3 linked regions of the Mus musculus genome follow. The protein of the gene in region 3 binds, or shares a complex with, the protein of the main gene of each other region. Links are inferred from orthologs where the notes say so. Each region holds a gene or a part of one and is shown on either strand. Other genes may lie near its edges.

What was found. The genes of interacting proteins can lie anywhere in the genome.
Region 1: Cnot11 (region 3) and Cnot7 share a complex: the UniProt entries of both Homo sapiens proteins name them as parts of the CCR4-NOT complex. The link is inferred for Mus musculus from reciprocal best matches to the Homo sapiens genes CNOT11 and CNOT7.
Region 2: Cnot11 (region 3) and Cnot8 share a complex: the UniProt entries of both Homo sapiens proteins name them as parts of the CCR4-NOT complex. The link is inferred for Mus musculus from reciprocal best matches to the Homo sapiens genes CNOT11 and CNOT8.

Annotation. Positions count from the first base shown.
Region 1 is NC_000074.6:40,494,755-40,499,752, forward strand, and holds part of Cnot7 (CCR4-NOT transcription complex subunit 7), read right to left. Parts: intron 4,686-4,998; coding exon 4,541-4,685; intron 1,162-4,540; coding exon 1,051-1,161; exon of another isoform or gene 942-1,050; intron 1-941. UniProt on the Homo sapiens protein: Has 3'-5' poly(A) exoribonuclease activity for synthetic poly(A) RNA substrate. Its function seems to be partially redundant with that of CNOT8.
Region 2 is NC_000077.6:58,108,972-58,113,969, reverse strand, and holds part of Cnot8 (CCR4-NOT transcription complex subunit 8), read right to left. Parts: intron 4,415-4,998; 5' UTR 4,321-4,414; coding exon 4,204-4,320; intron 2,711-4,203; coding exon 2,517-2,710; intron 919-2,516; coding exon 757-918; intron 21-756; coding exon 1-20. UniProt on the Homo sapiens protein: Has 3'-5' poly(A) exoribonuclease activity for synthetic poly(A) RNA substrate. Its function seems to be partially redundant with that of CNOT7.
Region 3 is NC_000067.6:39,533,369-39,540,347, reverse strand, and holds the start of Cnot11 (CCR4-NOT transcription complex subunit 11), read right to left. Parts: upstream 4,648-6,979; 5' UTR 4,510-4,647; coding exon 4,011-4,509; intron 2,933-4,010; coding exon 2,768-2,932; intron 2,078-2,767; coding exon 1,925-2,077; intron 476-1,924; coding exon 273-475; intron 1-272. UniProt on the Homo sapiens protein: Component of the CCR4-NOT complex which is one of the major cellular mRNA deadenylases and is linked to various cellular processes including bulk mRNA degradation, miRNA-mediated repression, translational repression during translational initiation and general transcription regulation.

The DNA.
Region 1 (4,998 bases), on a different chromosome or scaffold from region 3:
CAGCCAAGACTAAACAGAGAAACCCTGTCTCAAAAAAACTAAAAAAAAAAAAAAAATCCAAAAGGTGGTCCTATACTGAAACTAAGTTAGTTACGTGAGTGGACAATTCAAATAACTTCTGAATCAATACTACCTGGCAAAACAAGTCAAATGCGTTCTGTCAATAGCATGTTTTTACCAAGAGAATATACTCAAAATAATTCCACAGCAACTATTTCATAAAAATGTGTTTCTGTAGGCACATTTTATATATATATTTGTACCATTTATACCAAACTAAAATAGGACACACACACACAGTGTACCAAAAATAGAATACATGTGTGTGTGTGTGTGTGTGTATATATGTGTGTGTGTGTGTGTGTGTGTGTGGGTATACAATTAAAATTTGTTTATTATTATCAGCAATGAAGTAACCACGACATCTATCACCTAGTTATCTATCCTAAAAACACTCAGTTCCACTACATATCATCCTTCTACTCCTAACAATTTTATACTTGAATTCCTGATAGTTTTGACTCAACTATATGTCAGACTTCAGATTTAATTAATACCTATATATTCAAAAAGCCTTTAAGACTTAGTAAAAACTGTTAAGTTCTACTTTATAAAACCTTTAAAGCAATGAAGAATGACATGAGCAAATCTATTTTCGCCACCAGTTTCTAGAAAAAGAAGGTACGACTCCCTGGCTCGTATGGGGTCTAAGAAAGTTGAGTTCCCTCACTATTACCTTTTTAGCTTAAAAAACAGCATGTTCATATGTACATGATCTCTACAATCACCTAATTTTTTATTCTATAAACAACATATTTCAGTAGAATAAATAATGTTTTTTTATTCTATAAAGAGTTTATTCTATTTCCTTTTGCGTTACATTTCAGGAGGACTTATTTAACATTTTCATTCAAATGTGGTGGATGTAACTTATATAGTACCTCTATTTATATCTTCACTTAGTAGGTTCTTAATGCCCAAAACTTTTGTCATCAGACCTTTAATGTTCTCTACCTAACAACCAAGAAAAAGGCACTGATGTCTTCATACTTCTCTCATTTTGAAAAAGGCCATTCCTGTAAGCAGTGAGTCAGATCCTGCCTGGTGCTGAGGGCCTATGCGCTCCAGCTCTAACTGCTCAGCAACTTCCTGTAATCCACCCTAGAAGGAAGAAAAGTTGCTTGTCAAATAGAGAGGACTTTGGGACTGGAATTCACAATTACAGATTTAGACACTGACAAAAATATGAATACATTTTTAATATGTAAAGATGAACCTTGTAAAGATGGCAAGGGGATTGATAAAATATGAATCTGTAATTTATCTGTGGACTATAAAAGCCTTTTTTTACCAGAATATGAAATTCTAATAGGAAAATTTTATTTTAATTATACATCTTAAGGCAAGTTAAGCATGCCTTAACAACTTTCCAGAGATATGAAGGAAGTAGATCATATTCAGGGTAACAGTAATAAACCATACTCAGTGTCATTAAAAATATCTGCATCCCCTAAAGTATTTAAAACTTAGTAAAACAAAGACAACATGAGTGTTCAGACCACTGTCATTGTCAATCTACCACATAATTTCCATTTTCTCAACTAAAAAGAGAATTTTACAAATATACAACTCTTTTAGAATGGTTGCTCTGATCTGCTTATATTACTATAGCTATGACTGAGAAAAATAACGAGTGTCAAAGGAAAAGAGAAGAAATAGACAGACACAGAACAGACTACCAATCAACTTCCTCCTTAAAATACAAAGCCTTTACTATCCTGTAGTCACATCCTAGCCTGACAGGACTCCTGCCAGCAACGGTTTCTAACATTGTGTGCACCATGCATCCTTGGCAGCTGCTTAGAACACAGCAGCAGACTAGATATGAATGACTGGTAGCACCTTATTGCTAACATACACTTTTAATGTGAGCAGCTCACATAGCACTCAATAAAATATTTGATATTTTTAGATATTTCTGAATATATAGAAGAATAAAAAATTAGGACTCTGTTTCTGAAAACTATCATTATACCAAGCTGTCAATTAAAAAAACAAAATACAGCCGGGCATGGTGGCGCACGCCTTTAATCCCAGCACTCAGGAGGCAGAGGCAGGCGGATTTCTGAGTTCGAGGCCAGCCTGGTCTACAAAGTAAGTTCCAGGACAGCCAGGGCTATACAGAGAAACCCTGTCTTGAAAAACCAAAAATAAATAAATAAATAAAAGAAACCCTGTCTTGAAAAACCAAAAATAAATAAATAAATAACCAAAACAAAACAAAACAAAACAAAACCAAAAACTTCCAGAGCCAGCCAGGTGGGAGCCTTAGATTCTCAGCATGCCACTCATCAGTGTAAGTAGTCAGAATACTCTGCTGGAGTTCACTTATGAGGAAACCTCAAATGACACAGGATTCTGTGACTTTCAACTGACAGTCATGAGATAATCTTTCAAGAAGTTCTCCTAGTTATTTGGCACCACACCTACAACAGTGACAAATTACTTCTGTCCTACAATTCTCAGTAAATTGTTGAAACTAAAGCTTCCACATTATAATTCCTCTATTCTTGCTTAAGAAAAACTATTAAATTCCTTACTGTTTCCTAAAGCAAAGCTCTGTCTGTATTTTTCTAAAACCTAGATAGGGAAAACTTGGCCAACCTTGGTTTTACTGAAGACAGGGACAATATTGGCTACACATACACTTGTTTCCTTAGTTATAACTTAACATATCACACCAAAATCCAGCAACTAAAAACCCACTCAGTGTATTGCCAGGGATCTGTGCCAACTCAGGGGAATTTGCTCTTGAGCCAAAGTAGTACTTTTCTTTAATCAGGAAATGTTTGTTTTGATAAAATTAATGTCCAAAGGTTAAAAATACATGGCTACATATGTTCAGTATTATCAGAATAAGCTACTGTCTATATAGAACCTACACATTTACTATATAGTATTTATGCCTAACCAGTTTTAGCTACGAAAATAACAACATCATACTTTAACAAGAAAGAATAAAGGAGAGTCTCTAGTCAGGATAATCTGAAGGAAAACCACCTTAGAACACTACTGAGTGTCTCTGCCCCCTGCTGGCCAACCCCAATCTGTATGCTTGTGATAGTTCTGTGTGCTGGGAGTATGAGAACCTCTGTAATACAGGGCTCTGTCAGTGTACACCTCACACTTTCATTTCAGTTGATGACCCTCAATCTGGCATCAATAACAAAAACATGGCCCTTAGCTTGGCTTTTGTTAAAAATTTATTCTGGGGACTAAAGAGTTGGCTCAGCAGCTAAGAGCACAGCTGTTGTGGAGGACCAAATTTCAGTTTCTAGCACCCACTAGGTGGCTCACAAGTACCCATAACTCCAGTTCCAGAGGGTCTGACACTCTCTCTTTTAGCCTCTGCTACCTCTTGCTGTAAACTTCCACAGAAGTGAGTGAGAGTGTGTGTATCTTAAATATATATATATTTTTAAAAGATTTATTTTATTATTATATGTAAGTACACTGTAGCTGTCTTCAGACACACCAGAAGAGGGAGTCAGATCTTATTACGGATGGTTGTGAGCCACCATGTGGTTGCTGGGATTTGAACTCTGGACCTTCGGAAGAGCAGTCGGGTGCTCTTACCCACTGAGCCATCTCACCAGCCCTCTTAAATATATTTAATGCAATTAATATATCAACATTATTCTGGGCTGGAAAAATGGCTCAGCAGGTAAGATAACTTGGTTGGAAAGATAGCTCAGCAGGTAAGAGCACTTGCTGTTTTTGCAGAGGACACAGGCTCAGCCCCAACACAGCATGGTGGTTCACAACCATCCATAACTATAATCTAGGAGATGGGATGCCCTCTTCTAACCTCCTCAGACAGCAGGCACACATTTAGTGCATATACACATGCAAGTAAAATACCCACATACATAAAATACAATTTAAAGTATCTACAACAAGACAAAAATCCAACCAAGGAAAACACAAAACCAAAACAAACCTTATCCTGTTAAGATAAATACCGCAGCTTTGAAGAGAGATTGTTTATTAAGAATAGGATCAGATAATTTAACTAACTTTTTTCTTTTTTTTGGAGACAGGGTTTTTCTGTGTAGCCCTGGCTGTCCTGGAACTTATTCTGTAGACCGGGCCAGCCTTGAACTCAGAAATCTGACTGCCTCTGCCTCCTAAGTGCTGGGATTAAAGGCATGCACCACCACTGCCCGGCTTAACATAACTTCTAAAACATGGTTTAAAACATTCAGGCCTAAGATATTATAGAAATTACTTGGTCTAAATTGTGCTTCTCAACCTTCCTAATGCTGCATCCTTTAATACAGCTTTGTTGTGGTGAACCCCAACCATAAAACTATTTTTATCGCTTCTTAACTATGATTTTTCTGTTATGAATCATAATATAAATATTTGTGTTTTCCAATGGTCATAATTGATCCCTGTGAAAGGGTTGTTCAACTTCCAGGTTGAGACTCATTGGGCTAACTAATGTGCTAGTTCCGGATAAAGTCATCTGAAGCCTTACTTTGAGATTTTTGCAGCTCTTCATGAGGTACTTCACATCATAAATGACAGGAAAAAATAACCGAAGGATCTCAAAGAAATCAAGTTCTTCCTCAGGCAAGTTAGAGTTGGTCAGAATTTTGATTAAATAGCCAAAGTCATAACCACTAATAAAAAGATTAAAATAATTCAGAAAAAAATACATTAATACCATACAATGAAAGAAATTAGTTTTTCAGATAGAAAGTTAAACAAGTCATACTATAGGCAAAAGGATTAACAATAACGTACACACAGGAACAATGAAAAGAAACACGTCCATAACTACAGTGCAGAAACTGATCACTCAGCATCTTGAACACATGATAGTATAAATTTAACTCTACAGTCACTAAAATAACATTTTTCTGATATGTAAGCTGGAGAGATGATGTTCAAACATGAGTATTTTTGACCCCCAATACCCAAGTAAAAGCTGAG
Region 2 (4,998 bases), on a different chromosome or scaffold from region 3:
TGTAGCCAAAATCATAACCACTAAAGGAGGAATAAAGCAGATGTCTGAAAGCAGCCTCAGTCCAGCCTTAAACCACCACCTCAGGCTGGGGGCTGGGCCTCTCAAAGAGCACTGATGATCTCAGCTTTACATTCAGTGAGGAAATTTACATAAGGAAAGCTACGATGAGAAACACACAAGAACCTGAGAGTTTGTGTGAATTTGATTAATCAAAACTCAAAAGTAAAGCCGTAAGAGCCCAGGAGAAGGGTCACCTAAAGAGAAATTTTGAATCAGAGTTCCAATCCCAGCACCCAGGTCAGACAGCTCACAAATGCCTGTAAGTCTACCTGCAATGGCCCAGCATCCTCTTTTGGCTCCCTAGGTACTCACACACATACCTATACATACCACACACACACATACCCTTTAAAAATAAACACCTTCCAAAAAGTATTTAAAGAATATCTGTATTTGAGGACATTTCAAAGGACAAGCCACACCAGGCTGAAAATAACCGAGCCCACAGCAGCCTCCATCCACCTGGAAGACAGCACTGCACAGCCACTACAGCACTGCAGGTCAAGTGATGCAAAGCCCATGTGCGTGTTCACGTGCTCCCAAACACTACACAGGAACACCAACACCACCTCACTGCTGCTTCCAAAAAGCCAGGAGGACTCAAATCAACAAGAATTTAGTTCCTCCCCAGTGCAGCCTACAGTCAGAAGGGCGAAGCTATGCTGAAGAGACAGGCCACAGTTCCCGTGGACTGACCTGTGAAATGAAAGCCACTTGACGTTGTCACAGAGAACCACTCCCGATGTCATAAGCAGCTCTGCAAAGTGCAGTGTATCGATCCCTTCCTCCTCGTGTTTCTGGAACTGCAGCCCTGAGTTTGCAAGCAGATCTATGGAATCCTGGGAGTACATATCCTCTCTGAAAAACAAGGTGTCACTATGAGCTGGCGGCAGTGAGACCAAAGCAGGAGAGATGTTATGGTTAGCTTATGATTCGGAAACACAGAACTCCTGAAACACTCCAAAAACCAGCAGATTTGTATTTCCTAATTACAGAAAACCTATATTCTCTTGCTTAAAATTGTGTTTTATGTAAATGAATGAGTTAAACAATTGTGAGCCCAGCTCTGGGAATTGAGCTCAGATCTTTTGGAGGGGCAGCCGGTGTCCTAACCATTGAGCCACACATTTTTTTTATGCTGTTTTTCATCTTTTTTAAATATTTATTTATTTATGTATATGGATGTTTGTCTGTATATTTGCACACCAGAAGAGGGCATTCAGGCCCATCACAGACAGAGAGTGCCCACGTGGCTGCTGGGAACTGAACTCAGGAGCTCTGGAAGAACAACCTGGGCTTTTAACCACTGAACTATCATCTATGCGGCCTTTGGTTTTTTTAATTTTTAATCATATTTACACTTCTTTATATTATTTACAGTAGAATTTAACAAAACAAACTTGAGACAGAACTAACCCTGAAGTTTACTTATTACGGATGGTTGCGAGCCACCATGTGGTTGCTGGGATTTGAACTCAGGACCTTTGGAAGAGCAGTCGGCGCTCTTAACCACTGAGCCATCTCTCCAGCCCCTGAAGTTTATTTATAAAACAAACAAAAGGCAGGGCTGGAGATGAGGCTCAGCACTACGAGTTCTTGCTGCCGTGACAGAAGACCCAGGCTTAGCTCCCAACCATCCGTACTACCAGTCCCAGGGATCTGCTAACTGCTGTGGACACCAGGCACATACATGATGGACAGATATACATGCAGGCAAAACATTAATACACAAAATAACAGTTAAGGTCAGGCGTGGTGGCGCATGCCTTTAATCCCAGCACTCAGGAGACAGAGGCAGGAGGATTTCTGAATTCAAGGCCAGCCTGGTCTACAAAGTGAGTTCCAGGACAGCCAGGGCTACACAGAAAAATCCTGTCTCAAAAACAAAAAAACAAAACAAAACAAAAAAAAACAGTTAAAAATCTTGGGCTGGGGGCTGGAGAGCTGGCTCAGCGGTTAAAAGCACCGACTGCTTCCAGAGGTCCTGAGTTCAACTCCCAGCAACCACACGGTGGCTCAAAACCATCTGTACAGGGATTTGATGCCCTCTTCTGGTGTGTCTTAAGACAGCTACAGTGTACTCACATACATACATAAAAGATAAATAAATCTTTTAAAAAAAAGAAAAAAGAGCTGGGCGTGGTCGCACACGCCTTTAATCCCAGCACTTGGGAGGCAGAGGCAGGCAGATTTCTGAGACCGCCTGGTCTCTGGCCAGCCTGGTCTCCAGAGTGAGTTCCAGGACAGCCAGGACTACACCCTGTCTTGAAAAACCAAAAAAAAAAAAAAAAAAAAAAAAGATAGCAAGTTTCAGGACACTCAGAGCAACATAATAGAGAGAAACCATGTCTCCTCCCACCTCAATCCCAAAAACCACATGATTAGTAAAGCTTACAGCAACCAGCCCACTCAAACTCAGCTGTCTAGTAACACTGAGGGTCTCCCAAGACACTCACGTCAGGTTGAACTTGAAGTTGAACTGCCATGTGTTGATTCCAGACGGGTACTCCCCCTTCTCATTGGTGAACGTAAGGCCCAGCTGGATGATTTTAAGAAGATCAACATTGCACCGCAGAAGCTGATACTGGTAATCTATGGAGCTTCGAAATTCACCGATCGGCCGTACAACAACACCTGGGAACTCTGTGTCCTAGGAACAAAAGCCTCTTACCATTAAGCCTCAGCAAACAGTGGTGCTCAGCAACCCATGAGCAAAATTGCTCTTCAGTTTACAGAAGCCCAAGATAAGCTCCCAAGGTCTAGAACACAACAGAACCCAGACAGGTGAATGGGTGACTAGAGGGAGCTGCGCTCAGGTAGGAACGTCTTTTTTCACTTATTCATTTACTTCAAGTGCACTGGTGGCATGTGTGTCTGTAGGAGAGGGTCAAATCCCCTGGAAGTGGAGTTACAGACAGTTGTGAGCTATCATATGGGTGCTGTGAATTGAACCATGGTCCTCAGGAAGAACAAGTGCCCTCGACTGCTGAGCCATCTCTCTAGCCTTCAGATAGGACCTTCCAATATGAGTTAAATACAAATACAGCCAAGTAGATGGGGTGGCTCACAGGGGCTTCGCTCCATCCCATCAGCTTCTTGGTGTGACGTATACTTGAAAGAGAAGCCCGGCTCATGGCCTGCTGTTCAGAGCTCCCACCTTGGTCTAATGTTTTTATAAAGGACAAATGCAGCCTTCCTCTTTCCTGAGTGACTATTTCACTGCCGTGTGTACATAAAACCCTTTTATACCCTTGTAAAGCTCAGACTGGCCTATACTCATTGATCTTGAACTCCTGACCCCACACCCTCACCCCCAGTGTTTGGGATGACAGGATCTTAACCTGCTGGGAGAGCTTGTAAGGCTAGTGCCTCTTATGGACAGAGGAGTGAAAGCAGGGTTTGAATACAGACAGTGGCAAGCTCCAAGCCTGGAGTAAAACAGAGCACCTGCGTGCTCAGGGGCTGGCCTAAGAAGAGTGCCACCTAACCCGCCATTGGGCAGGAAAATAAGCCACACAGTACCAGTCCTTCCCACTTTACCCAGAGACACCAGATCTGCAATGTGACATCTCCTGCCTTTTTTGTGCTAGCAATAAAATGTTTGAATATTTTGAAAACATAGGCTGGGCATGTTGGTACATGCCTATCTTCCTAGCACTTGGGAGATAGAGGCAGGAGGATCAGAAAGTCAAGTCGTCCTCTTGAAATATGCCTGTTACATGAAACCCTGTCTCCAAATTTTAAAAAATTAATAAGTACCACATGCTCAAATTCCCATGTGTGAGGAGATATACCCAAAGGGGCTGAGGTAGGTCAGACACTAGAGCACTTCCCAGCACCACACATACTGGGCACAATGGGGCAACCATAGCTCAGCACCAAGAAGGCAGAAGCAGGAGGATAAGCACAAGGCCTGCCTGGACTACCCAGCAAGTGCTGGGCTAGCCAGGGCTTACATATCCAGATCCTATCTAAATAAACAAAAATAAAAATATAAAAGACTTTCCATCAGAGGAACACATTACAAAAACTTGTGTCAGAAGCTATGCCCTCCTCAGAGACACTAGCTGCCTTGATTCACAAAAGCAATTAGGTTTCCATCAGTCTAACCTTCCCTGGCTTTGGTGGGGAGGGCCTACTCACCATAGCGATATAGCTGTAGCTGAGGACAATCTCACGGATCTTCCGCATCTCTTCCTCAAGATTGCTGGCCCACACCTCACAGATGACCTGACTGTTTTCTACAAGTGCCGCAGGCATCCTGAAGGCACCTGAGGAGCCACCGTGAGCCAACTATGTAAAAAAACAAACAAGCCTCCTTCTGTTTGATTTAATTGTCCACACTGGATCCAATCTAGATATAAAGACAGTTTGAAATCACATTAAGTTTACATGGTGGTATAAGATATCTACAAATCAAACACATTAAAATTGTATTTTAGTCAGATACGTGACCCAGACACATGATCCTAACACTCAGGAGGCCAAGGTAGAAGGAGGGAGACCAGCGTGGACTGCATACTGAGTCCATTTAAGGTCAACCAGGGCTACCTAGCAAGACCCTATCTGAAAACACACACAAACCAGAGTTTTACCATAACTTCATTAACAGTCAGTGCACTCAGCATCCACTACCTATGGAGTGCTTACACTTGCCTTTGTCAAGTTTGTTCTCTCTTGATACAAACAAAACCCTACCTGTTGACCCGAATCCTTAACATGACATTAAAAATGGCAAGTTACTGGGCTAGAGAGATGGCTCAGTGGTTAAGAGCACCACTGCTCTTCCAGAGGTCCTGAGTTCAATTCCCAGCAACCACATGGTGGCTCACAAACATCTGTAATGGGATCTGATGCCCTCTTCTGATGTGTCTGAAGACAGCAACAGCGTACTCATATACATCAAATAAATAAATAAATCTTTTAAAAAAAAAAAGG
Region 3 (6,979 bases):
GAACAGTGCTGCCAACTCATCCTAGCCTACCTCTCTCCGAGACAAACTGAATAGAGTCTAGTCATCATTAGGCCTCTTGTCTCATCAGAGCAAAACTGTCAACAAGGAAAGGTCAGAGCACAGCAGCTGGGATTGTGAAGCCCTCTGATGCTACTTCTGCTGGCTCACATCCACAACTGACTGCTCACTTACTGCTTCCTGGGAAGAACACCCTGTGATAGGCACAGACAGGACACTGTAATAAAAACATACATACATACATACATACATACCTGTGTCTGTTGGGGAGACGACAGGGGGCTTTTGAAGGCTTTCGCCATGATCCGCTTGATCTCCACACCAGTGCTATTCTTCACACACATCGATCTGTCCCACTGGATGGCATGCTCGGGTTCTGTGGGATTTAGCCAGGCCAGTTCATCCTCACAGATGTGGAGAGGGGGTGGTGGGCGGATAAACTCTGGTCGAAAGTGGCCTATAATGAGAGTAACACATGACTGTCGGTGAGCTAACATTTGCACACACCCTATATGCATTTAATGAAGTACAAGGGTACCTTTAACAAGGACATGTGATAAGACATACTTCAAACAGTAATGCTATAAAAATCAGAGTTCCACGCTCAAATGACAACCGAGAACACGTGACCCCCCCCCAACACACACACCATCAGCATGATGCCAATACAAGTCTGTTTTTCAGAAAGAGGAAAACATGAACATGAACTGAGTTTTAATGCAAGCATAGCCACTTAGGCTGAGGATGCAGGTGTCAAATATGCAGATGCAGATGATGATGACGACAAGATAATGATGATGGTTGTTTTCTTAAAATCTCCTTTATGTCCTCAGGTGTCCTGGAATTCACTCTGTAGACCAGGCTACCCTCAAACTCACAGAGATCTGCTTGCCTCTACTTCCCGAGAGTTGGGATTAAAGGTATTTCTCATCGCAGTTAACATATAACTAAAATTTTATGAGTTTTTCCCCCTTAACTTTCTTTTTGTGGACCCTAGGACACCTCAGAATACTAAACAGAGTTCTTGGGGCTATCCCCACAATTCAAGGTTGATGTGTAAGTTATCAATTATTGACACACTAAAGTAAACTAGTTAGTACTTCTGAACTAACATCATACTTCATTTGGTTGCTCCACAGCTGAAAAGCCCAGAAAGAAAGGCTAAAGCCTCAACAATCACAACCACACAGCTTGCCCCCAGTGGCTTATTATGTTCTTGTATAAACACTTGCACCCTAACTCCAGTGACCCACAGTGCTATGCCCAAATGACCACTCTCAAGAAAGACAACGTATACTTTATATCTCAGTACTTAACAAGACAGACACCCAGCTGTCTATCCAGCTGTGGGCTCCACCTGCCTGCTAAGCCCCACAAAAGCCCAGGAGATGAAAACTTAGTAATTTCCACTAAACTGGGACACACGAGCTCCCACTCCTCTCCGCTGCCTCTGGTGTACAGCAGGAAGTTCTCTCTGTCCTGAGAGCAGATCTTACCCAGTCCATCACTAGCCTTCCAGAGAGCACTTCCCACAGAGGACAGAGGTGGGTGGCTGGATTATGGATCCTACTCTCAGCCGAGGATGACCAGGACTCTAAGGTCATCCTCAGCTACACAGGAAATTTCTAGACTACTCTGCGCTACATGAGACTATCTCATTAAAACAAACACAGTCATTTTGGTAAAACCTGAATTTTTATCTGCAGGCATGTGTGTGTGTGTGTGTGGGGGGGTGTACATCAAATAAGCAATAAACATCCTAGTGTATAACTAGCTGGTGTCTGTGTCTGCTATATTCTAGACAGCAAGGCAGTTAGTCTGTCATCAGGTACTGTAAGAAACGTAGAATTCCCGAGTGCTGCTAGAGTACAACCCTGAGAACATGAACTAAGCCCCATATACCTACTTTCAATAGGTGGCTTTGGGCCACTGACTAAAGACTCTGTGATCCGAGAGGCAACTGAGCTGTCAAATCCAGAGTTGGACGAGTCCGGGTCTGGGTCACTGAGGATGCTTGGGAAGCTGGCTTTGCTCTGGGTTGGCAGCTCAGACTGACGCTCTGGAACAGATTCAGACAAGAAGCATTCAAAGCATTTAAGCTAGACCTTGTAATGCCAGCACCTGGAAGGCGGAGACGAGAGTCAAGAACCCAAGGCCAGCCTGGGGGGCAGGGGGAGGGGCAGGGTGGCACAGAACATTTTAAAATTGAGAACATCGTGAACAGATCAGGAGTTCAAAGTAAATATCTTTAATCCCTATAAACCAAACAATAATAATATTAAAATAACTCCAAAAGAGAACATGGAGTGAGGTGGATGGCAGGGAGGGAGGTGCGGGGCAGAGACCAGGCTGGGTGTCAATCAGAAGCACAGAATAAGGAAACAGAAAAGAGAGTGGAGGAGGTGCTGGGGTACAAGGGTGTGATCTGGGATGGGGACTGGAGCGGGCCTGGCCTGGGGCTGCGTGCCTGAGTACTCAGAGTCAGCCAGTAAGAGCTCAGTTAGAGGCCAGCATGCTCTACCCAGCTCTTCCAGGACAGCCAAGGCTACACAAAGAAACCTGGTCTCAAAACAAACAAACAAAAGAGGGGGTGGCAGACAGGGAGACAGGGAAAGGACAGGGCAGGGCAGGATGGGAGAGGATCAAACAAAAACAGCAGAAATGTAAATTTAAAAGAAAAAACTTGTTGATTTTAAGCAGGGGATCTCAAGAACCGACAAGAATGTCCCAATCACTGGCCCTCCCTCACCTGCCAGGGCTAACTGAAGGCCGCTAATGTCCACAGACTGTCCCATGTTTCCAACGTCCATCAAGGCAATCTGGCGAGGTGTCTTTTTGAACAGTTCCCTTGGGGGTGCCAGCATGAGCTGGGAGAGGAAAAACTTTTCTGGTGGAGTTATAGGAGGCAGGAACCCTGCAAATAAGAATGCATGCCGGTTTCTCGCCAATGGGTACTGGTAAAGTTTTAAAATTTAACTTTAAAAGTTAACTGGAAACTTTGCTACTTGCCACGTGGAGCTATTCTTATGATCTAAATGTAACTGAGTTCCAGCTGATTGAATATTCACACTTAGTACACATAGTAATCCATAAACAAATATATCGCTTGAGATTCTGTGATCTATGGAAATGTCAATGAAACGTAAGGTTTTAATAGCTGTTGAGAACTTTTTGTTATCAAATACTTAGATTCCTACAAATTTAAACATACTTTAAAAATTATATATATATGTATATGTGTGTGTATATCTATATCTCTATCTCTATCTCTATATCTATATATATGTACATATGTACATGTATGTCAGCCTGTGAGTGGTACAGCTGTCCCAGAGTCCTGGACGAGGCTCATGGTATAGAGGAAGTGACCCTGGGTTCCATCCACAGCACCAAATTTAGGGGCGCATCCTCAGGTGTAATCTATGCCTGATCTTAGCAATGCTGCAAAAGCAAACATTCCACAATACTGCCCAGGACACATGCATCTTTGAATGGTTAATTAGAAACGACTTCATCCTCTCCTCACGCGACATTACAGCTAACCAAGGAGTTGGCTGCAAAGACTTTAGATATTGTGGTGATGTGGACTTCAACCTCAGGTTCTTAATACCGACTTCTTTACTCGGAGGCTTAAAAAGGGGGTAAACTCAGTGCCATTGGCTGTAACTTCGCATACCTCAGGACCTTACAATCAAGAATGAACCGTATCTGGCATACTAAAATATGTCCAGCCCGTTTGTGGGCTTGTACGATGTGTTGGCTTTTTCGATTGGGAGGGATCATCTGGAGTGTAGTGAATTTGAAAAAAAAAAAAAACCAAAAAAACAAAACTTGCAACTTCTATCTCTCCCCTATTTTAGGGAAAGAAAGTATGGAAAAGGAGGGAGGGTCGATCCCCTCCAAGGAGGCTGAATGTCCCTAGCTGACGACCCCCCTCCCACCCCCACCCCAGAACAGCTGGCTGCGCCCGCACGGCTGGCTGCGGGACGTACCTGAGAGCGGGGGCCGGTCGGGCTCCTGGCCGCCGCGGGCGGGCGGCGCCGGGTTGAGCAGGTGCGCGAAGCTGGCCGCGAACGGGTTGGCGGCGAGCGGCTCGGTGCGGTACATCTCCCAGAGCAGGTAGAGCGCCGTGAGGCGCTGCGCCGCGCTAGGCAGCAGGTCCGGCTGCTGCAGCAGCATCACCAGCACCGAGCCCAGGCGGAAGTGGTCGGCCTTGCTGAAGTAGTGGTGGAAGGCGGTGGACAGGCCCTCGAAGGTGCTGCCGCCGCCCGCCTCCTCCGAGATGATGCTCAGCAGGCTCGAGAGCTCCTTCGGGGTCAGGCTCATCCTGCCCGCGGGGCCTCCAATCCCTGGCCCAGGGCCGCCTGCTCCGCCTCGGCCTCCGCTCGAGCCCGCCGGGCCGCTCCGGAACGCCGCTGCCTCCCGCGCCCCTCTGGGATCCGCTGAGGAGAGAAGCCGGCCAGACGCCGTGCTCGCCCCGCCGCCGGGCATCAACCTCGCCCGCCTACCCCGCTTCCCGGCCGAGAGGCCCAAGGCGCCGACTCGCTGCGTCCTCCCGCGGCCGTAAAGCGCACCCTTCCGCGACAGCGTCGCAAACAAAAACAGTGCCTAAGTCAGACGAGCGGAACGGAGACACAGGGCCGACAGACCGACGACGCTGGCCGAGCGGAGGTTCCGGAGACGCGAGTGGGCGGGGCGCCGTGTCCGGAAGGGGGCGGGGCGCCGTGGAGGGCGGGGCCGCGTGGTCTCTGAGCTGTCCGAGTGGTCCTTCCCTGCCTGAGTGATGTAGAGACCGCCGTTAATTGCCCTTAAAGCCCTCAGAAGCGATCCTTGGGTGACAGGGTGGCGCCAAACCTGCCCAGTCAATATTGCCTAAGTTATAATTTGGAAACTAGGTCTTAGATGCTAACTGGTCTGATAGAGCATCCTTGACGGCTCATTTCTTGTAAATACCAATGAAAACAGGATTCTCAGAAACAGTTTAAATTTCGAGCCTTGCTCGTATTCTCAGAGATGGGGTCGTACCGCACATAAACGTTTGGTTATGTGAACAAAAATCTAGGCGAGGCCGGCACCAGGGAGGCAGAGGCAGACGAACCCCTGTGAGTTCGAGGCCAGCCTGGTCTAAAAAGAAAGAAAAAAAAAAATCTGAGAAAACTGTCTCGAGAAATATTCGTTTACAAAATCGTTTGCAGTGCTTCTTTTTCCTTAGCCTGCCCTAGGGCACTTTTTCTGGACGCCTTGGCTGAACACTGGAAAACCCTGGAAATTTCTTTACATACCAGCCTCCTGGACCTGGTCCCCTGTGATCTGTTTCAAAGGCACCGCTGCCCGCTCCCCACCCCTATGCTCCGGTGGTGACTAGTATCCACTCTAGAGTTACAGAAACCGAGCGACTGTCATCAGCGTCACCTGCTAGCTACCCTGTGCTAAAACTCTTCGGCAGCTGAAAGTTTTCTATTTACCGCTGAAGTTCTCAAGGAAATCTTCAGGAACAGGTGATGGGTATGGCGCATATTTTAAAGGCCTCTTTAGTTTACTGTTAAACCTGTGGAGGGGTTCTGCCAATGAACATTGCAATCAGCAGAAAATATAGCTTGCCAAACGGGGCAAATGATTCAAATTACCTCTTCTACTACTACTACTACTACTACTACTACTACTACTACTACTACTACTAATTAGTCAACTATGTTCTCTTTGAGCCTTTTTACATTGGATGCTCTATGACAACTAATCATACTAAAACCCACTCATGCTAGTTATTGTCATAACTTATTGTTAGTTGATAACTTAAATGTTAGTACAGTATGGGTGTTTCGAGATGTTTTAAGGTATTTGAGCACAGCACGTTACCCGCCAATAGAGCTGATTTCCACTAAGATTAATACCAAGAGCGTCTTCCCTGTTTCCACTGGGCTTGTTTCTAGGGTTTCTCTGCCATTACCACAAACTGAGTTCATTTTCACTGTAGAACCCACTTCCTCTCCCTTCCTGAGGCTGAACGTCTGGAATGGGTTATATCAATTCTGCCATTCACCTTTGAAGCATCAAGGGGAGAATTCTTCCAAGTCTTGTTCTAGCTTCCAGTGATATCCAAAGACCCTGGTATCCCTTGGCTTATAGCTGCACCTTTCCTTAATTGTTATTAAGTTTCGAACTGGGACTCCCTGCTGAGATGCATATTAACATATCAAAGCTAACCCGGCAGCCTGTTTTTTTCCCAGCCACCCCCAGTTCCTACCTGACAGGCTATGGCTGGCACACCCCTCTCTCTACCCTGAACTCTGCAGCCTAGAGGGTGGGCTACCCTTCCACTACAGGATCTTCCCTATAGAACCCAGACTTTTTCTTTTAAAAGGATTTATTTATTTTTATGTATATGAGTACACTGTCGCTGTCTTCAGACACACTAGAAGAGGGCATCAGATCTCATTACAAATGGTTGTGAGCCACCATGTGGTCACTGGGAATTGAACTCGGGACCTCTGGAAGAGCAGTCAGTGCTCTTAACCACTGAGACATCTCTCCAGCCCTAAACCCAGAGTCCCAGTTCCTTTTGTACCTTTGGACTCCTGACAGCTGTACATGGTCCCCCCCTTCTCCCCACATGGTCCAGCTTGGTCTAGTCATGTCCACTCTGGATGGTCCTGCCTTTACCCACACTCTCTGATGTATTTATAAAAAGACAAAGACAGGGGAAATATGTTCTATGGGACCAGCCACACACGGGATAGTATAGAATAGAGTTTATTCAGGGCATGGGGAGAGGGGTCAAGAGGGTAGCAGAGGCAGAGAAAGGGGGAGAGGAGAGAGGAGATGAGCGGAGAAAAGAGGAGCGGAGAGGAGGGGAGAAAAGAGGAGCGGAGAGGAGAGGAGAGGGGAGGGAAGGGGAGAGGAGGGGAGAGGAGGGGAGAGGAGGGGAGAGGAGGGGAGAGGAGGGGAGAGGAGAGGAGAGGAG